4 linked regions of the Arabidopsis thaliana genome follow. The protein of the gene in region 3 purifies or fractionates together with the protein of the main gene of each other region. This does not show direct contact. Each region holds a gene or a part of one and is shown on either strand. Other genes may lie near its edges. The genes, in order: AT2G35390, PRS2, AT1G09060 and AT1G25260.

What was found.
Region 1: the proteins of AT1G09060 (region 3) and AT2G35390 fractionate together in Arabidopsis thaliana (co-fractionation; one large-scale study listed by BioGRID). This does not show direct contact.
Region 2: the proteins of AT1G09060 (region 3) and PRS2 fractionate together in Arabidopsis thaliana (co-fractionation; one large-scale study listed by BioGRID). This does not show direct contact.
Region 4: the proteins of AT1G09060 (region 3) and AT1G25260 fractionate together in Arabidopsis thaliana (co-fractionation; one large-scale study listed by BioGRID). This does not show direct contact.

The regions. Positions count from the first base shown.
Region 1 is NC_003071.7:14,894,739-14,899,539, forward strand, and holds AT2G35390 (Phosphoribosyltransferase family protein), read right to left. Parts: upstream 3,145-4,801; 5' UTR 2,844-3,144; coding exon 2,700-2,843; exon of another isoform or gene 2,370-2,699; coding exon 1,947-2,369; intron 1,836-1,946; coding exon 1,692-1,835; intron 1,598-1,691; coding exon 1,430-1,597; intron 1,345-1,429; coding exon 1,275-1,344; intron 1,156-1,274; coding exon 1,074-1,155; coding exon of another isoform or gene 1,070-1,073; exon of another isoform or gene 971-1,069; coding exon 790-970; 3' UTR 516-789; downstream 1-515. Other genes in the region: AT2G35410 (RNA-binding (RRM/RBD/RNP motifs) family protein), read left to right, coding at 3,603-3,977, 4,060-4,158, 4,312-4,614, 4,703-4,801.
Region 2 is NC_003070.9:11,679,982-11,685,027, reverse strand, and holds PRS2 (phosphoribosyl pyrophosphate (PRPP) synthase 2), read right to left. Parts: upstream 3,295-5,046; 5' UTR 2,996-3,294; coding exon 2,852-2,995; exon of another isoform or gene 2,440-2,851; coding exon 2,275-2,439; intron 2,189-2,274; coding exon 1,940-2,188; intron 1,861-1,939; coding exon 1,717-1,860; intron 1,630-1,716; coding exon 1,462-1,629; intron 1,385-1,461; coding exon 1,315-1,384; intron 1,152-1,314; coding exon 1,070-1,151; intron 980-1,069; coding exon 799-979; 3' UTR 508-798; downstream 1-507. Other genes in the region: AT1G32375 (F-box/RNI-like/FBD-like domains-containing protein), read right to left, coding at 4,349-4,627, 4,725-4,859, 4,944-5,046.
Region 3 is NC_003070.9:2,920,518-2,927,620, forward strand, and holds AT1G09060 (JmjC domain protein JMJ24), read right to left. Parts: upstream 5,240-7,103; 5' UTR 5,171-5,239; intron 4,809-5,170; exon of another isoform or gene 4,748-4,808; 5' UTR 4,738-4,747; coding exon 4,132-4,737; intron 4,032-4,131; coding exon 3,889-4,031; intron 3,792-3,888; coding exon 3,692-3,791; intron 3,589-3,691; coding exon 3,456-3,588; intron 3,364-3,455; coding exon 3,309-3,363; intron 3,201-3,308; coding exon 2,555-3,200; intron 2,477-2,554; coding exon 2,147-2,476; intron 2,010-2,146; coding exon 1,638-2,009; intron 1,546-1,637; coding exon 1,476-1,545; intron 1,387-1,475; coding exon 1,301-1,386; intron 1,213-1,300; coding exon 1,093-1,212; intron 993-1,092; coding exon 922-992; intron 821-921; coding exon 718-820; 3' UTR 547-717; downstream 1-546. Other genes in the region: AT1G09050 (arginine-glutamic acid dipeptide repeat protein), read left to right, coding at 1-341. UniProt on the Arabidopsis thaliana protein: Binds histone H3 but seems to have lost demethylase activity probably due to its inability to bind iron Fe(2+).
Region 4 is NC_003070.9:8,853,005-8,857,811, reverse strand, and holds AT1G25260 (Ribosomal protein L10 family protein), read left to right. Parts: upstream 1-1,937; 5' UTR 1,938-2,045; coding exon 2,046-2,073; intron 2,074-2,325; coding exon 2,326-2,491; intron 2,492-2,569; coding exon 2,570-2,660; intron 2,661-2,753; coding exon 2,754-2,812; intron 2,813-2,947; coding exon 2,948-3,008; intron 3,009-3,165; coding exon 3,166-3,256; intron 3,257-3,356; coding exon 3,357-3,433; intron 3,434-3,514; coding exon 3,515-3,649; 3' UTR 3,650-4,278; downstream 4,279-4,807. Other genes in the region: UMAMIT24 (nodulin MtN21 /EamA-like transporter family protein), read right to left, coding at 1-86.

The sequences.
Region 1 (4,801 bases), on a different chromosome or scaffold from region 3:
CAATTACATCACATATATCAGTGGATTGACAGACCTGTGAATTTCTATCGTCACCTCGACTCATAAAAGTCCTTAAAAGAGTTTTTACAAAAATCCAAAAAAAACATGAATTGAGGAAGAGATTAAGATCTAGAAAAGCTCAGAACTTCTTAGAGGGTTGTGTATTACCGTCAGCGATGGATTAACCATCTCTGGCACACGATTTTTTCCTCACAGCTCTTCTATTTAAATAAATTTCTATGCACAAATCGAAAAACAGAGCCAAACAAAATCACAGATGACAAAACCCTAAGAACTAATTGAGGCGGAACACAAAACAATAGACTTGTCTTGTGATTCCAATGTGAGTCTTCTATATATACTAGTTGACACTAGTCAAATAGAAGCCCTAATTATGACTCAACCTATTCTTTTGGGCTTTTTTTATTTTTTTGGTTGGCCGTGGACTGTACAATCCAATACATAGATTTGTCTGATTATGAAACCCATTATCAAATTGTCAACAAGATTTTTGAGCCAATTTGCACCATGTTAAATGTAGATACGATACAAGATGTTCTATATATTAAGTTAAAAACTTGTGTACACCATAATAAAAAATCGGTTCAACACCATTTGTGCATCCATAATTTTGAGATGTGGAGCAAATAAGAAAAACCTAAGCTGTATCAAAAGACAATGCAAGCAAATTTTGTTGAAGCTTTCCGGTTAGAACATGAACCGGGATAAACTTTCTAAACCGACTAACAAACCAAGAATCGTTCAAATTGTTGGTTGCAATGAGAAAGGTCAAAGGAAAATGCTACTGACGGAACTATCATCATGCACACGCCAAATGGTCTCACCCAGGAGATTAGCCACTGATAATATTGTTAACTGCGGGAAGTAATTCTTCTCTGCTACAGGTAATGTGTTTGTCACTATCACTTCTTGCAGCAAACCCCCTGATAATCGCTCTATCGCTGGCGGGCTTCCATATTGATTTGTTTGAAACAAAGAAAACAAATAATGCTTCAGGAAGTAGTGATTTTGAGACTGTTCAGGAACAAACAAAATATAGGTTAGTGGTTTACCTGAAAACAGCGTGTGTGCAGCACGCATATACCTCCCGAGCACCTTCCTGGTGTAACAAAGCTGCTCCTTTTACAATGGTTCCTGAAACAAGAATGGTTCATAGATGATTCAGCCTGGAAAAGGAGAAGTTGATGGGGAATAGAGAGAGATAGGAAACTTGGTTTGTCGGTAAAATGACAACTCCATGCCGTTTTACTAACCAGCAGTATCAATCATATCATCCACCATTATTGCCACCTTCCCTCTTACATCACCAATTAGGTTCATGACCTGAAAGGAAAGTATAACAAATGTGAACTTAAGGGGAAGCAAGCGGTGTTGGTGAGCAAACTCTGACTCTGAAAGAAAGGGATACCTCAGCAACATTGTGTCCAGAACGCCTTTTATCGACAATGGCAAGTGGTGCATCTGATAATTTCTTTGCAAAAGCGCGGGCCCTGGCTACTCCACCAACATCAGGAGAAACCACTACCAAATCCTCTGAGGGAATTGACTTGCTAGCAAGATAATCAAGTATCACCGGCTGAAACAATTAAGCAGATAAAGGTATTATACACAAAGGAGCATACACACAATGCATAAAGAGGGGTATCAAGAACGTGGCTTTAGAGGTGAACCTGGCAGTACACATGGTCGACTGGAATGTCAAAATAACCCATCGACTGTCCTGAATGAAGATCACAAGCAAGAACTCGATCTGCACCAGCTTCAGTGATAAGATTTGCAACCAATTTGGCAGCAATGGATTCACGCCCTTGTGTCTGCAAGCAGCAAAACATACAATTTTATCCAGAAAAGATTACCAATAGCTAAGTTATCAACAAACCCTCCATATCATGTGAAAGTAGCTAAACCACACAAAGAGACTTTACCTTCCTGTCAGCTCTTGCATATCCAAAATACGGAATCACAGCTGTAACTTTCTTAGCTGATGCTCTTCGGCAAGCATCTACCATAATCAAAAGCTCCATGAGATTCTCATTAGTGGGAGTGCAAGTAGGCTGCACCAAATAGACGTCACATCCCCTAACGCTCTCTTGTAGCTGAACATAGATCTCTCCATCAGCAAACCTCTTAATATTAACCTTGCCAAGATCCAAGCCCATATACCAAGCAATTTCCTGAGCAAGTGCTGGATTTGCAGTACCAGAGAACAACTTCAACCTTGTATTGGTTCTATTGACTGATTTCTCCATACGAGCAGATTCCAAGAACTTTGGAAGTGTCCTCTCATTAATAATTGGGATACTTGGATTCCCGTTTCCCACATTCAATGACTCCGGCATATCACATTTCTAGCAACAACAACAACAAGACTCAATCAGAGATTCATATAATCATATAGGTCTCAATTTCTGTTCCTGGATAGTTTCAAACAAATGTATTCTGAAGAAAGAGACAACCTTTATGTAGCTATATTCGCATAAACAAACAATATTCAAACGAAAGAGACGAGCTTTTCAGCTCATGCGCCAATAAAAATCTCAGAACTACAAACTTGACAAGATGGCTATTAGGGTCCACTCAATCTAGGAACCTCAAATCCGGAAACGTAATAAGAAAGGAAGGATCAACATTCAAAAATGCAGAATAAGCAATTCTATAGATTCATGAACACCGCTTACAACACAAGCGAAGACAGAGTTTCGGGAGCGAAACTGAGAGGTTCTGACGGATAGAGAAGAGTTAGAGAAGAAAGTTGAAGACGAAGAGGCTAGATACGTCGGCGTTTTTGCGGCGGGAGGAAAGGATAGACCCAGAGACGCCATTGTCAGCAATACCTCACGTAAACCCACCTCTGACTCACTCAAGCAGTCTCTTCCACAACGAATTCGGAAAAATTATGGTTTAGGATTTTGAAGGTGACAGAGTGATACGGAAGAAGGAATGGCTTAATGGTTTTCTTCTCTCCTTCTTCTTCGTCTCCGAGTTTGTGTTGGACTCTTCTTTCTCGAATTTGGATTTTTTTTTTTTTCGTTTTGTGAAAAATAAATAGGAAATGGTTTGGTTGGTGTGTACAAGACTACAAGTTGTTACTAAACGACATCGTTTGATGGATTGGAGACGTCTGGCTGGACTTTTCTTAGGATTAATTAACTTTTTGGGATTGATTGAAATCTTGGTCTCTTCATTTTGTATTTCACCAAATGTCTCAAAACTCAAAAAAAATTTACTAACTTATTTATTTAGAATATTGAAATTTAAACTTTTGTATTTACATTGTTATAGAATATACACCAATCAAATTCAGTTTTAGTCAAATTCGAGTTTTGACTTCAAAGAGAAAAATCATGAGATTCATCACTTTTTTGTTCTTCCATTTGACTGCAATGTGGAGGGATTGGAATTTATTGGTATACCAAAAAAAATACATGATATACGGTTAAGTTCCTCGTGCCATTTACCTTCAAAAACCGAAGTTGGTAGACCCGGTTCACAATTCATTTTTTTCCGAATAACCAAACCGGCCCAAAAAGTTTTATCCTTTTGTCTCGGTCTAATCCATTTCTCTAGTGCCAAAGCTAACAATGGCGGTTTTGGAAGCTTCTCTCTCCATTTTCTCCTTCTCTTCTTCTTCTTCCTCTTCAAAACCTTATCTCTTTTCTAAACGCTCTTCTTCCTTAAAACTTACTGCCCTTAGTCTTCGAATTCCCAGCAATCTCTCTCCCGTCTTCTCTCTACGTTCCGGCAGCGATAACTCACGGCGGCTCGTCTCCGTACTCTGTTCCGTCGCGGAGAAAGAAACATCGGCGGATGAAGAAACGTCGCAGGAGGAGAAGACTGAAGAAACCCAGAATTCAAATCTGAAAAGGAAGCTTTTTGTATTCAATCTTCCTTGGTCTATGAGTGTAAATGACATTTCCGAGCTCTTTGGACAATGTGGGACTGTGAACAATGTCGAGGTCTTTCTTCTTTCTCAATTTCGTTTCAATCTTTATGTTATTACTAGCAATTGCCTTACCTCAATTTATAAACTTTTCCTAGATTATAAGGCAAAAAGATGGAAAGAACCGAGGATTTGCTTTTGTAACTATGGCTTCTGGAGAAGAAGCTCAAGCAGCTATTGATAAGTTCGATACTTTTGTAAGCTCAAATCCCTTAGATTCTTTTCTGATTGAGTGTTGTTTGTTTAATTTCAAAGCCTTTTAGGTAGATAGTTCAAACTACTAAATCATACATTGTGTTGAGTTGTTAGCTAAGGTTTGATGTTTAAGCTTCTATCTTCTTTGTTTTCAGCAAGTGTCAGGGAGGATCATTAGCGTAAGCTTTGCAAGAAGGTTCAAGAAGCCTACTCCGAAATCACCGAACGATCTTCCTTCTCCTGCCCCTGGAGACACTCGTCACAAACTCTACGTATCTAATCTCGCTTGGAAAGCAAGATCAACACATCTCCGAGAGCTTTTCACTGCTGCAGATTTCAACCCGGTCTCAGCTCGGGTTGTTTTCGCTGACCCCGAAGGTAGATCTTCTGGCTATGGCTTTGTCTCATTTGCTACTAGAGAAGAAGCTGAGAATGCAATCACAAAACTCAATGGGAAGGTATGAAGTTCCAAGCATATTAATATAAAGTTTGCTCCTTTAGCCTTGAGCATGTAAAGTGTTTCATTACAATTTGGTTTTTCTATAGGAGATAATGGGTAGACCTATCACTCTAAAGTTTAGTCTGAGAAGCGCCAGTGAATCTGAAGATGGTGACAGTGTAGAAGCTAACAACGCTTCTGAAGAT
Region 2 (5,046 bases), 8.8 Mb from region 3:
AAAAAATCATTGGGAGGGTTTTTATTAAGAGTAGATCAGAACCTGTCGAGATATCACAATAACATCACTCAAATGTTGTCAGTGGATTGACAGACTGTGAATTCTTTATCGTCACTTCGACCACACACCAAAAAATAGAACAAAAGAAAAGCTTAGAACTCTAAGGTTATGTTTGCCGTCAACGATGAATAACTTCATCTCTGGCACACGGTAGTTACATCACAGCAACTACTCAAGATTTTCGAACATAAGAATTCAAAACCACAAAAGAATATGATTAAACTATGAAACAGAGATTATAGGGAGACATATCGGACCACAGAGAGACGAAGGAAACACTTATCTGTTTCAAGCGGCGATGAAAAGACTATTTATATGCAACGACGGGCTTGATAAAACCCTAATTTGTTCCTTTTTTTTTGCAATAAAAATTGGTTAACCGAAGAAAGAACACTAAACCATAAAAATTAGTCACTTATTTCATAAAATGCCAAAACTATTTATTGCCAGAAATATGCAAGTTGGGGAAATTGTTAATTTAGAAATTCTCAATAAATCCTGAGAAATAATGTTTACACCATAATGTAATTATTTTCAATAAACCAAAATATTAAAATTTTATTGTCATTGATATCTCATAACTCTATTATGCTAAAAAGAAGAAAAGATAGAACTGTGACATACTTTAGGTGAGTAAGAGAAGCAAGACATGGTTAGACTAGAAACTGTCGAGAAGAAGTAGAACAAAAAAGAGGAACTTAGACCGATCCTAAACCGATTAACAAAAACCAACAAGTATCAAAGGAAAATACTACTAACGGAGCTATCATCATGGACACGCCAAATGGTCTCACCCAGAAGATTAGCCACCGATAATATCGTTAACTGCGGGAAGTAATTCTTCTCCGCTACTGGTAAAGTATTCGTCACTATCACTTCTTGCAGCAAACCGCTTGATAACCGCTCTATCGCAGGAGGACTGTGACATTGATTCATTCAAGAAAACGGTCTCTTAGTTTCATAAACGAAAATGGAGAAGAACTGGTAAAACTCAAGCTAATGGGTTTACCTGAAAACAGCGTGTGTACAGCAAGCGTAAACCTCACGTGCACCCTCCTCGTGTAAAAGAGCTGCTCCTTTCACAATGGTTCCTGTAAATAAGAAGATAAAAAACTGGTTCTTAGTAATGTATGGCCTGCAAATCACAGAATAATCTCTATTTAGTAATATCTCGATTATGGCCTAGAGTTTGGAAGCTTTTGTTTATAACAAACATATCAACGGAAAGAGGAGTTTCTGGCAATTTTTACTAACCAGCTGTATCAATAATATCATCCACCATTACTGCCACCTTCCCTTTAACATCACCGATTAGGTTCATGACCTGTGGGAAAGAGTATTATCAACACATGAGAACTTGCGTGTAGAAAGGATAAAATGAAGGTAAATTTAAATTTTTACCTCAGCGACATTGTGGCCGTGACGCCTTTTATCGACAATGGCAAGTGGTGCATCAGATAATTTCTTAGCAAATGCACGTGCCCTGGCTACTCCACCAACATCAGGAGAAACCACTACCAAATCCTCAGAGGAAATTGACTTGCTAGCAAGATAATCAAGTATCACAGGCTGAAATGTAATCACAATTGTGTAAGATTTTAAAGGTTGCATAAAAAGTAGAGGCTTGTCTATCAAAAAGGTTGAAACTTAAGATACCTGGCAATAGACATGATCCACTGGTATGTCAAAATAACCCATGGATTGTCCTGAATGAAGATCACAAGCCAGAACCCTATCTGCACCGGCTTCTGTTATAAGGTTTGCTACCAATTTGGCAGCAATAGATTCACGCCCTTGTGTCTGAAAACATCAATAGATACATCAGATGAAATTACTTGACATACTGTATCTACCATTGAAGAAGACAAAAAGAACCTACCTTTCTATCAGCTCTTGCGTATCCAAAATACGGAATCACAGCTGTGACTTTCTTAGCTGATGCTCTTCGGCAAGCATCCACCATGATCAATAGCTCCATGAGATTCTCATTAGTTGGAGTGCAAGTAGGCTGCACCAAAAAGACATCGCAACCTCTAACACTTTCTTTGAGCTGAACATAGATCTCTCCATCAGCAAATCTCTTTATGCTAACCTTCCCAAGCTCCAGACCCATATACCAAGCAATTTCCTTCACAAAATTCCAAGAGTTTAGCATATACTTCACCAGAAGAAAACTTGATTAAAAAAGACAACCAAAGGTCTCGAGAAAACTACCTGAGATAAAGCTGGATTAGCAGTACCAGAGAACAACTTGAGCTTAGTATTGTTTCTACTAACCGATTTCTCCAACCGTGAAGAATCAAAGAACTTAGGAATTGTCGTCTCATTAATAATTGGAACACGAGCGTTCCCGTTTAGTGCCTTAGGCAAATTGCATTTCTATCAAACACAATGACAAGGAATTGTGAAACCAAATTCAAAATGTTAGACACAAAATTTAACCAACACACGATCTCTCTTACATCTCTCTACAAACATAAGAATAACCAAACATTCATGAACAGTATTCAACACACAAGATTCCAAAGCTGAAAGTTCCAAATTCCAAATTCTACAGTCACATACATGGACAAAGTCAAGCCAAGAGCGACGACAACACACAAATTCTCACAAAATTAGCCTGTAAACGAACTGCTAATAGCATCTACTAAATCCAGAAAAATCTCACAGATCATCAAAGCATAGATTCATCCAAAAACAATTTGAATTTTCTTATAACAAATACATGAAACGCAATGTGAATATCGAATTCATTCATTAACATGAAGGAAAAAAAATGCTCAATGCTCACCGCGTAACCAGAAACGCAGATTCGAGAGCGAGACTCAGTGGTCCTGAAAGAAATCGAGGAACGGGAGAAGAGAGACGAAGACGACGAGGAGAGATACGAAGGAATCTTAACGGAGGGAGGAGAAGTCAGAGCCAACGACGCCATATGTAAATATATACGTCGGAAACACCTGGAATCTCTTGAGTCACGGCAAATATCAGACTCCTCTCAACGTTAAGAATTCCGATAGAGAAGAGAACTAATCGAAGGATATTAGGATTTAGGGTTCCAAATTTGGAGTGAGAAACGAAGGAGAAGGAGGAGAAGAAGAAGGTAATGGTGAATATGTTTGTTGTTGTTTCTTTCTTCTCCGGGAAGAAGAGTGACTCAAGCGGTGCGGCGATGGGTCTTCTCTCTTTCTCGAAATTTGGAATTTTCAATTGTAATTTTGTTACACTAAAAACATACAAAAATAAATATTGTTTAGAAACGGTGTCGTTTGGTTGATGGCTAAAATCGTCTCTGCTCGTAGCTTTCACAGCTTACGTGTCATGTAGGACTTAACATTGAAGGAGTCGAAAAGAGAAATTGTTTTCAAACACAAATTCTAAAGAATCTCATACTGATTCCTAATGCCCACTTGTTTCTAAGCATTTTTCATGCCACTTTAGGATTCCAATAACTAATTATGAACATAAATTTTCTAAAAAAAGAATATATTTTCAGCAAAAAAACTTTTTTTAAAAAAAAAACCATTTGTATTTTGGGTTCTTTCGGCTATACAAATAGATTGGGTCACATCATTAATATTGGCCATTGCAACAATTGAAAAGTGCAAATTTTGGAAAGAACAAGTCAAAAACTCAAAAGGTGAAGATGTGATTCTTCTCCTACATAAAAAAGGTTACAACTTACAAAAGACCTCTTCAAGGTACTTACAAAACATCATAGAGATTGCCTTAATACTTGTTTTGAGTTTAAAGAGATCCAAATTGAAAACATATGCAGCCATAAGGATTTGTTGCCATTTGTGTGAAACTGAAAAGGCAAACGGGTTATAATAATAAGAAGCCACAATGTCATATTTAACACATTAAAGATATAAGGAGATGTGATTAGCCATTGCCACGACCTCTTGCGTATCCGAGTCCATTAGACCATTTGCAATATCATTTTGCTCTAAATGATTACACGTGGTCAATTCATATTTCCATCTACCTAAATCCAAGCTCATAACGGATTACACTAAACAAAAAGACCAAAATGTCTCTAAGTTCATTGACCATTTTAGAACGTCATTCTTCGCTTGTCGAAGAATATGCAGTGAGAAGCAGAGCTAAATAAGATAAAAACTCAAAAGGGTTATAAGACATAAGAATACACAACGTCAAAAGAATAAAAACTTGAGCAACATAAGTTTCTAGGGAAAACTAGTTTCTTTAAGAAGAGAAAACACAAGTCTATAAGATTGGATCAAACACAGACCAACTTGACTAATGAAGAAGACTGAACTAAACTTCAGTCGAATGCAATCTGACATGTAGGTGAACGCCTGAACAACAATGACAACTCCTTGAGCATCTCAAATTTCTTGTTGATGTCAGTGGATTTAGAGGAGATAGTCACCTTCTTTAAACAGCTTCCACTTCTTAAGATGAATGCCGCTACTTCTTTCTCTTCTTCTGTTCCTTCATATTTTACCCATTCGAGAGTTTCAAGACTTGTCAACAGACATTCAGGAACTGCACTCGGTTCATTCCAGCACGGCCGCGGTTGATGAGATCGATAGACATGGTTCTAAGATAAAAGTAAGATATCATCACACTGTTATTCTACTGAAAATATATGCTGATATATCATAGAGACTGAATAATTCAGGTTTAGATCTGCAGACCTTAACAAGTTTGAGTTCTCGTAATTTAGGGGAATCTCTGAGTACACACATAAGTAGATTTAGCCACTCTGTCTCACATGTGCATATCGTTAAACGTACAAGACAGTGGAAGACACTACCAACAGGATAAGCATCCTGCATAAGAGACACTACATAAGTAATTTGATCACAAAGAAACCAATAATATATGTAGATAACAGAACTATAGAAACATATTACCTTAGAGGATGGTATACATACATAGAGACGCTTGACGGAAGAAATAGAACCCATGAGCTGCTGCGTATGTACATAAGAATTGCAAACATTTGCCTTCACAACC
Region 3 (7,103 bases):
TGGAATCCGACTTTCTTATAACCAAGAGAATGAAAAGCACAACTAAACCAGAACCGAGAAAACATGAAAGTTCAACGAAGAAAAAGCGCTCAGCTAAAGCATGTAACAGAAATGGGAGTGCAGACTTGGAGCACAGAGGAGAAGATAGAAGCAGTTTTACAAAGAAATCACCAACAAGTAAGCCCTTGGATCAAATAGAGGATTCAAAGCCTAGCTATCTTCTCAATGAAGCAAGAACTGAGAGTAAGGCTCTGGATCAAGTACAGGAGTCAAGGCCGGTTCTAACTGAATACCGTAAACTTCCACCGATTGTATTGAAGCTTCCATTCAGGCGTGGCTAAGGAGCTCAACGGACTTAAGTCTGAAAGTTTTGATCGCGGGATGTGAGAAGATTGGCCTGGCTGTATGCTGAAGAATAAGTGTGTACAGAAGAGCGATATTAACACAAAGGGTTTTATTCCTTTGTTATTCTTATTACTTCCATTATTAGACAGAAGTAATGTTTCTATTATTGGTTTGCTTAGGAGTTCGTTGAAGTAACTTTCATATGGTCTAGTAGTAGAAAAAATTATGTGGAATAATGATGGTTATGAATATACTATATGAAGCATGATATACACAGTCATAGATACATTACAAATCCTGAATAGTAGTAGTAGTCGTCTAAACTAAAGTCACAACAATGATTTTTATACTACTATACAAATCTTGACTGATTTAAGTGCAGCTGTTTTGCTGCGGCCGCTTGGTTGCCTCGTCTAAGTTGTGAGAGACTGCTTTGGTTAAGTTAGAGTCTTCAAATCCAAGCTCTGCTCCAAACCTTTTGCAGCCATAACGAAGGAACCAAATTTCAAAAATTGTCAGTTCAAATTCACTTCATACTCTTTATATTAGCTTTGGTGTCAATACTTTTTTACTTACTTTGGATCCAAGACCAGTTTCTGAACCTCTTTAATGGCTGAGCTAGCTGCGTATAATGATATCTTTCCAATCTGATGTTAAGAACCCAAACCATTTCCAAGAGTTAGAAGTGAAGGCACTGAGATGGTTAATGGTTTGTTCTAAGGGAAGGCAGAATCAAAGATTTGTTACCTCTAGAATCTGAAGTTTTGCCTCGTGGTCGTTTGGTAAACACCGGATTTCTTCAGCTAGTCTTGCTGACTCTCCAACGCTTTCAGGGCACAAGAAGTCAAGTGCCACCTGAATATTCGACTGAGAATTGTATACATGGGAAAAAAGTTTAGTTTAGCTCAAGGGAAAAGAAACTTAATGGAATAATGTTGCAACGAAATAAATTTACCTGAAGATTAGTGATTTGGAACGGACATCCAGCCGGAATGAAGATAGCCTCACCACGATGTTGCTCAAATGTCCATGGCTCAACTCCTGAAACAATAGCAAGAGTCATCCCTCAGGTTTCCAAGCGATTAAGTGTTTGGAAATAGAATAGGGAATAGAATGTTTGTTTTTCCTACCAAACTCGTCTCTTAGTTGTCTCTTGTGGTGTTCATTTAAGAACAATCCTTCATACAACGGGCGTGACACCTGAAACCAGAGTAAACAAACTAGGAAACTCAATCATTCCACATACAAGACTTTACACACTTCATTTATTTGAATTAGCAGGTACGGCTTACAAAATCAGTCTGGATATTATCAGGCTTCTGGAATGTTCTCTGCAAATACCCGGACAACTTTGGGACGTCTTGGCGTCGAAAGACATCCCACTGGGCTCCTCCTGCACATGAAGATGTGCAAGAAGATTCCATGTTGTCACCGTTTTCCGTTAAGTTCTCTGGATTCACAGTCAACGCCAACTCAGGTTCATTCTTCTCCATACTGGCTTCACCAAGTGATAGATCATGTAACTCTCCGTCCCTTAATTTCTGCTCAGGGCTAAGAAGTGACTCATTTTCGCTCATCTTCTGGTCAGGTTCCTCTGGAACAGGTTTTGTTTTTCTCACCCTTTCGAATGTTGTTTCTTCAGACGTGTGCACCAATAGGTATACCTGATTAACAGTTTCAACGACTCAATCATTATATATTTTAACAATAATCTCAGTTGACCTAACATATAACCAGTTTCCCTTATCAACCAAAATAAGACAAATGTGATCACTTATAATCCAAGAGCTGAGTAATGTACCATGTCACGCATGTTGTAGTGAATACCAGTCAATGAATCGCCAGCACTGATTTCTTGGTACGTCCCACAAGACACATAAATCTTTGGACCTGAATCGTTTTGGAGCGAGTAATGAGGTAACTTGGCTGCAACATTCAGAAGGCCTAACCGGGGATGAATGTACTCGAGAAACGGAAAACTTCTGATAAACTCAGGTCTTTGGTAGAAAATGAACTCCTCGGAAGCACTTGGGCTCGGCCAGTCCTTTAACTTCCACAATAGCGGAAGACCTGTCTCTTGGTTCTTTCCATCTTTATATGCTCTTGTAAACTCCCCAAGTCTTACATCAACCTGTGAATCAAGTTATGAACATTACTGAATCTGTGACTTCACAATATGAAGAAGATAAGAAGATAAGAAGAAATGTACCTCTAAACCATCCAAGCAATTAATGGCCTTCAAGAATGGATCATGTTCTCTCAGTTTCTCGTCCGAAAGCTCGTCTATATCCCTCCAAATAGTCTCAGGATCCCATCTAGAGCAAGATGAGTCATCAAGTACCATTTTCACAGTAACAAGCCGACCCTCTGCCCATTGTTGCTCAAACTTAGCTACTCCATCAGTTTTAATCGTTTCAAGCGACGGGCTGTACACGTAGTTGTCACCGCTCTCTTCTCTCTCAGCAAATTTGCAGAATCTTGAATCACACATATCAGGGTTCAGAAGATCAGATAATTTGCAGCCACTAACAATCTCCTCAGCATTTTTCACAAGCTTTGCAACCCAATTCATCTTGAAAATGCGGGCAAGATTCAAAGAATGTGAACCGCAGCCTCCATACTCCTTAGGAGGGCAAGGGATGCTCCCATCACCGTTGGCTTCCCACTCAGGAAACTTGTATGAAAAGTTTAGTTTTAGTTTGGGAGCTCCTTTTCTATCTTGTACGTTTTGGTTAGTCCCACTAATCGTCACTGAAGACTCTTCCCGTAGATCTTGACAGCATCTCAGGCAAAGGTCATATGAGCAGTTCGGACAGTGACGGTAGTAGTCAACAACTGGTATCCGACACACGTTGCTGCAAGAAACAAAACTTCAGTCATGTACGATAATACAAAGTGCCAACAAGAAATAGTTGCAGTACTAAGTCAAAAGAAGAAAGGCATGTAAGATAGATCACAAGTACCAGCACATCTGCTCATCTGCTTTCAATCTTGCCCTGACAAGATCAATCTCAACTTCTATAGAGTAGAACAAACTAGTGTTAACCGCAAAAAATGTTACGAGTATATATAATTCATCAATAGTCACTGTAAACAAAAACTCGTCTCACCACGAAGCCTCTTCTCTAGTTCAACTTCCATACATTGTTCAAGATGGATCTGCTTTATGACTGGTAGGACAGCTGATAATAGACGATAAAGATACTGCAACTTGTCCAAAACGGGTATTTCCCGGATCCGAACCTGCAATTTTTCACAAAGAGTCATAATCATCTCATGGTCCTAAATTTCAAACCCCAAAATAGGTAGCACTGGTTTGAATCTTTATGATAACACGAGACCACACCTTTATTGTATTATCTGAACGCAGGCAAGATTTGCAATCACACAAGCCACGACATGCAGGGCAAACTTTCTCGACTTCTTCAAGTGATATCTCCGAGTACCTTAAAATGCATGAGACATCATTAGTACCGCGAACTCTTTCTACCAAAGGTTTATAGAATTCTGATATAAACAGAATGAAAAGAAAAGAAAGCACACCTTGCCGATAGACAATTGTGGCAGAAGGCTCTTTGATTGCATTTGAGGCAAGAAATGATTCTCTCTCTATCTTTTCTCTGGCATTGATGGCAGATTTCCCCCAAAGACTCTGCAGACACATCTGTGCTTGCTGCTGAGTATTCCTACAACACAGAAAACCAGTTACTTTTAATCCTTATAAGCAAACAAACACATATGGGTGTACAAGTTCTTTGTCTAACCAATGAGAAACAAGAAACTTACCATAGGACTGGTGCTTTGGTGTGATCTGTTTCGTGTCGGATCCATAACAGCAACAGATGGTGGTGTCCTATAAGATCTGTAGCCCTCTTCAAACATTACAACATCTCTACCCAAGTCATCATTCAAATCCACTGCAACACGTGGAGAGAAACTCCTCATCATCGGTGTCTCGGGCGAGTACCGCATCAGGCTTTTATTATGTCTCTTCTCTAGTCTACCATTACTCTTGGAAGCAGAGGCAAGACCGTTATTATAGTGGTCAATGCTGGTGACTGGTAACTCGAAATCATCCATCTTCCCTTCCGAATACGTATCTGTTTCGCCTAACGATGATCGCCTTTTCGCTTTCTTCTGGTTCGCCCTGAAAGCAGAATTAGCCGCCCGCTTCTTTGCTTGGATGTAGTGCTTCTCACAAACAGTCTTATCAGCCATGGACATTGCAGTGCATCTCCACTGTTTACCATCCGATCTCTTGCACCGTAAGTCATCTGGAATCCCGGGAATAGACTCACCATTGCCATTGCCAATGCCATTGGCGGATCGAGTTTGCTCATTAGCATTCATTCTAATCACTGAATCACAAGTTTCATCAAAATTGACCTGCATTGTCAAAACACTAGATTTTCAAACTAAAATCAGAAATTGAGCACTCACTAAAGGGAAAGAAAACTAAATTGGTAGCTTATACACTCCTGCTCGAATTTGAGAGAGAGATCAACCAAATTACAATCCCAAAATCCAATATTTGTAAGCAAAACCCGTTAAATCCCCCAATTCAACGAACACACACACACACATGATCAATCACTGAACCTAAGAGCTCTAGAAACACATGCTATATCGATCGATATATGTATAGAACTAATAAGTGCGTACAAATTCGAAGACAGAAGAAGAGAACTCCGAAATCGCTAAAATCGAACGTAGAATTGAAGAAGAGTGTTTAAGATTGGGGAATTCGAGAGGCTCATCAACAAGTATATAAGTGTGTATATATATATAGGTACATATATATATGAAAATAATTGCTCGTACTTACAGTGAAAGAAGGAAAACCCCAAACCTGAAATTAGGGTTTTGGTCGAGAGAAATTGCAGAGGTTATAGATGGGAGAGAGACCTATCATGTTCAGGATACTTTTCTTATACTTCTGTCTTTTTTTTTTTTTTTTTTTTTTGGATATTCCCTTTCCGCTTAGGTTTTCCTTTTTTCCTCCTCTGTAACTAAGAAGAAGTAAACTCGGATTCAGACAGAACATGGATATGGGTTCACTTGTTTTTCTTCTTTTCTTTATTTTTGTTTCAGTGTGGTGTTTTTTGATTCAAAAGTGGATCCCCATTGTACAGTTACCAAATATGGATATAAACAAACAAAAGTTAAGGGAAATATGTATACAAATTTCAAATTTAAAATATTTTGATATGTTGTCAAAGAATTATATATAAATATATTAATATTGCAATTTTATTAAAGTAAACTTACCAATTGATGAAACACAAAAAAAAAAGTCCTTGATAAGGTTGTTTTACAGTAATTTGATTCTAAACCTGTTGACTTGTAATGCATCCGGAATTTGGATTTCGGATAGTTTCATAGAAAGAATTATTTGGTTCTAATGTAAATTATGTTCATTTCGTATTTGCTAATGGTAATTAACATTAATGACTATGTCATATTCGTTTTCTAATTTTCAGCGACTAACGATTAAATTGTGTTCATTTTGTAGTTACTGAAAATAACGATGAGCAACTGAACGTGATTCAAAATACTCAACGCTAAAATTTTCATTGGTCAAAAACTTTTAAGTCATTGGCAATGGTGTCGTTTGAAATATGATCGTGTATGTTTGTTGGGTTTTTAGTTATCATTGAGTGATTTTTTTGCTAAACAAATTCTGAATGGTGAGTTGATGATTAGTTTCAAGACTTGCAAGTAGTTGAGTGATGAGATCAAGTACTAGAAGAAAAATCAGGTAAACTTTTTTTGTGTTATATATCAAAATTTGTGAATATGGTCTCCTCCAATATATGGACTAACGTGTATATTTGCGTTTAACTTAAATGTTCCGTGAAGGAGAATAAAGTGGCAAAGAATATGGATAGTGCGTCAGGACCACGCGACGTGAGGCTATCGTTGAATTAAAAGGATGATTCGATCGAGAAAATGAGAACCAATCGCCTTCGAGAATAAGCAAAAATAGAAAACGTATGGGTTATTCCACGCGTATTGCTCTTGACTACTGAAGAAGAAACCAAGAAAGATGCTTGAGATTATTCTACATTTCAAAAGATTCCACCTTATATGCTCATTCATTATCGCAATACATGCATGGTTCCAAGTTTTAAGTTAGTAACTTTTTTCCGAAGACAACTAATCTTCAACTAATTACCATCATATATACCACCATTAGTTGGTTTTGTTAAACTGTAATTCAATGTAAATTTATTAAAACATTTTCATTTAGAGTTTACGGTAAACTTTCGAATGGTAAAGTTGTAGAATTCGTACTCGTCCACTTGATATTCTTTTTCGAATATGTTAGTGATGTTGATCATATCCAATCCTAGCAGAGTAAAATGCGATATGATTACTACATATCATGATATCAACATCAAACAATAATAAGTCTAACTCTCCGGCGTGTCTTTGTCCTATTTTACGTACCTGATTACGTTGTCAAGTAACCAGGCTTACGGAGAACACCGAATTGATCATGGTCTTATCATTTGAGACATTCTTTAAAACGTTTATAATTTCCATATCTTTGAACGTTTACATTGCCATTATCACTAAACTCTTAGATACACATGAGTTTATTATTTGAACCATGGTCAAATAATAATTTACTAAAAACAGCAAGATAATTAAACTTCAGATAAGAAGAAACTAATATTAGAAGGAAAAAAGCTATTTGCATTTAAAGAAACCGCGTCCTTAACAAAAAAAATCTCGTGCGTGTCCCTCCCGTGTGT
Region 4 (4,807 bases), 5.9 Mb from region 3:
GTACCATCGTCGACCGTTATCTTAAACAAAATGAACATCCCGGCGAAGATAAACTGAACCGCCACCATTGCAACTACACTCTTCATTTCTCCCCACATTTCTCTGATTTCGCCCCACAGTTTCTGATTTCTACTTTGATACCCACTCTAAGTCTCTAACTATTAACTATCCAATCCTGTTAGCTCATGATCAGCTCTATTTATGTAGCCAAGGTGTTTTCGTCTTTAATTCTACCTCTATACCTTTTTCATTGTGCTCCACTTCAATTGTATTAACTGTCCAATCCTCCTAGCTCATGATATAGGAAGATGTGAGATTCAAATATTTGTTTCTGGAAACTCGTTACTAAAGTAGCAAAGTTTGGAAGGATTAACCTTCTTGTAGACAAAAGAAAAGAAAAACAAAAGAGTTTATGTGTTGAAATGTATATTCATGATCAAAGGGAAAACAGAATACAAAGTGAAGACGTAATGCAAAAATAAGACGAAACTGTTTATTGTCGTTCTATGAAAGGAGCTCCACAAGCTTTCAAGAGCGTTTCACTGCAAAAGAATCTTTTTTTTTTGCAAAAGCATTTGTTATAACATGACAAGAAAACTATTATACATTTACATCGATGCCACACATTCTTATACGAACGGTAATGCGTTTTACTATATGAGCCAAAATGACAATGCAGAAACATGCTCGGTGCTATTAACATTTATTAAAACATAATTGTGAAGTTAAACAAGATATAAATAAAAGTAACATATTAGGTTGACGTTGACACGTGCTAAGCATGCTTTGTGGCTTTTCCGCGATGGCTTTGCCACACACAAGAACTCCAAAAGAAAGAAAAAGGCTCGTATATCATTATTGTCAGTAAGCAACATGCGTACGTAAAGCCAAATACACTTGGTAAAGATCCAAATGTGGAAGTTTTGGGCTTGGATTCTCTTTCCATTCTTCTGCTCTCTTTCATGTGACTTGCATAAAGATGATACGACCAAAAGTGAAAACCAAGTATCAATTCATACATACATATTATAAGAATGAGAAAGAAAAAAAGTTATATTCATACTGACCCAATTAAAATTTCACACACAAAAAAACCTCTAGAGAACGTTATGATACCCCAATTGAATGTCATATATTTTCCATCATTTTCTTTTATGCCATAGATCGAGCCACTATCAATACCACTAGCTATAACAATCTCGAGCGATTTTTGTGTGTTTTTTTAATTCCCCCGACGGAACTAATTCCACTCATCTCTTGATCTTTTCGCCATATAGCACGACATATATATAGCCCACATACAATCAATATTGCTCCTAGTAAAAATAAAAATAAATATATTGCTTCAAGTACACTTCAATTTGAAAACAATAATATAGTGTATGCTTATAAATATTATCAAATCTTAATAAATAAATTGTCTTTTACCTTCCCAAATAAACTTCTCGTCCAAGAACAAAACACAAGCCACGGCGACTACTACGAGCATGAGAAGGGTTGAGGACTTCTACAAATGAGTGGACCCATCCCCTTAGTCTCGAACAAATTGCCAGTAGTGAGATCACTACTCACTACTAATGGTTGTTCCTATTGTTCCCTATACGTTTACATTGTTTAATTTCCGAGCATTCATATAAATAATTTATAATTCATTATTAAGAGGTTTAATAATATGATTTTGAAAGTACCACTTTTTAATTAATTTTTATAACATTAAATTTAAAACTTTAATTTCTTAACTTAAAAACTTTTGCACAACAAAACAAAAAAAACTAAAAACACTATAATCCATTTAAATTTAAACTAGTACACCCTCCAATGACAAAAAAAAATCGGCCCAGATTTCTGATAGCTAAAAGGCCTGAAACGGGCCGGATCCGGATCGGGTTGAATTAGGGGTCCAGATTAAAAAGTGCGAATTAAAGCAAACAAGGGAACAAGGGTTTCAGTTTCCCTGAAGAAAATTGAAAGGAGCTTAATAAACAGAAGCCGTTCTCCTTCACTTTCGTTCCTCTCACTTCCATACAACATTTGAAACCTCAGCTATGCCTAAATCAAAGCGAGATAGACCAGGTTAGAACTCTTCTTCCTTCACTCTTTCTGCTCTCTATTGTCTGAACCATTGTATCTCTGTCACTGGTTTTGGAAGCTGTAACTTTTGTAGCCGCCGTCAAGGGTTTTAGGGTTTTGTTAGGTTTTTAGAGGAACCCTTTTGAAAAAAACTTTAACTTGTTGGAGTTAGTAATGTTTTTTCATAGCTTCTATGGTTGAATCGATTGATGAATGGTTTATCTAAGGGTTTTGTTTTCTGATTTTTTGCTGCAGTGACTTTGTCTAAGACGAAGAAGAAAGGAAGAGAGCATAAGGAGTGTATTGTGAATGGAATTAGGGAGGCTGTTGAAAAATATTCCTCTGTCTATGTTTTCTCTTTTGAAAACATGAGAAATATCAAATTCAAGGAGTTTAGGCAGCAGTTTAGGCACAATGGAAAGTTAGTTTCTTTGTCCTTCTTCTGGTTGATGTTAGAATTACTTGAATGTTATGACTGACTCGGTTCTTATTTGTCTAGGTTCTTCCTAGGTTCGAACAAAGTGATGCAGGTTGCTCTTGGTCGTTCTGCAGAAGATGAACTCCGTTCTGGTATCTACAAAGTCTCCAAGGTTTGTGTATTCTGCTTCTTACAATGGTTCTTTTATGTTAAATGGTCATTTTTTGTCAGTTAGATTTACATATGTTGTGGAATGTTGTTTCAGCTGCTTCGTGGTGATACTGGACTTCTTGTTACTGATATGCCAAAGGAAGAAGTCGAAAGGTATCTATCTATGTATCTCTTGACGTCCTCTTTTTTCCTCTTTTGCTTTGGTGAAACAACAGTGACGGGTTTGAATTGTATACATGTCTAGTTGTTGTAACTGTTCACAATACTTCTTCTGGTTGTGTATTGCAGCTTATTTAACGCTTATGAGGATTCCGACTTTTCAAGGACCGGAAGCATTGCAGTAGAAACGGTTTGTGAACAGAACTTGTGCCATCTCTATATACTGTTGTTTCTAGATAAATAAATAAGCTTGACTATGATCAGGCTCTGCTTCTCTTTGTTATTTAAAAAACTTTGTTTCGTTACTTTTATCTTAATTACTATATTGGTACCACCTAAATGATTAGGTTGAACTGAAGGAAGGTCCTCTAGAACAGTTCACACATGAGATGGAACCACTTCTTCGGAAGCTTGAAATGCCTGTACGACTAAACAAAGGTCTGTCGTCTCACCATCTTAATATTCCTCTTTCTCATACTCACTTTTGCTATCTATATTAATCCAAAAACTTATTTCTTCTTCTTATTTTAATATGTAGGTACTGTGGAGTTGGTCGCTGACTTTGTAGTTTGTGAAGAAGGAAAACAACTTTCGCCAAAATCAGCCCACATTTTGGTAATAAGACTTCTGTATACCAAAACCCTTTCCTTTTAATTTGTATGCTTTATTTCTTATACTTGTTTGTTTACTTTGCAGCGTCTATTGCGAATGAAGATGGCTACTTTCAAGCTGAACTTGCTCTGCAGATGGAGCCCTAGTGACTTTGAGCTTTACAGAGAAGATCTGTCAGAGCTTTACCGAGAAGATCTCTCAGACGTTGAAACCTCTTAGGAAGCCAAGATTTTGACTCCACCCTTTAAATTTTTCTTAATATCATCACTATCACATGGATTTTATATTGTGGCACATGGTTTGCATTCAAATGTTTTAAGTCAAAGTTTTGCTTGCTTTACATGTTTTGTAGAATATCAACTTATCTTCAAGAACCCCCTATCCTAATATTGGCAAATCAATCTTGAAAACCTTGTTTTTCTTATTCAGCCACATTATGGAATTTCTTACTCAATTTGCTTACTTTTTACAGATTTATAGATGGTGTTGGGACCGAATTAATTGGCATGCGTATGATAATTTAAAGCAAGTTTTTCTTCTTGTCTTTAAAATTATTGTGGTCCATGGGCTTGAGAGCAGTCCAACAACGTTCACACGTCGTCCATCTCTTTTGATAATTTCTTGTTTTTTGTTTTTTTGTTTGTTTTTTAGCAATCCGAAACTATTGCGTTTGACTAGGTGAGCTTAGAGTTGTGATGTTAGGGATAGAAGCAGTTTTCTACGAAAGGGGTTGAAGATACTATGAGGCGAATGCGGTTGAACAAAATAGAACCCACCGGAGATTTTGGTAAAAGATTAAACGGAAAGGCGATACTTCCAACTCCGACGTAACAAATGTTTAGTTGTAGATTTTCAACATTTTATGAATTTTGATAACATATTTTTTAATTAAATTTTGGTTAACATATTTTTGTTATAAAAAAAAAATATATACATAAACTACGGGTTCTCTCATTTTAAACAAGTATAAGTATACTATTATGTCTTAATATATTTCCTTAACATTACATATATATATATATATATATATATATAAAATCGAAAATACGATATTCTCTCATTTAAATATACTCAATCAAATATCAACTTTCTGTTTCTTGTTTTCTATCCGCAGATAATGCGGGATAAATTGTTTCCTAATTCATGTATGGGACTTTTATTGGATTTACGGAGTTTGCCTATACAAATTTAGGTAAGTTAGATTGGAAAAACAAGTTCCATATACTTTATCCTTAATTTTTTTGCTTATTTCTTCTTTCCTAATGAACAAAAAGATTTTGTTAAAAAAAAAAATGTAAATCAAGGAGATCACGTATTGAGGTGAGATGAGAAAGAGAGAGTGTGTGGCTTTAAAGAAGGAATAGGATGGAGTAAGAA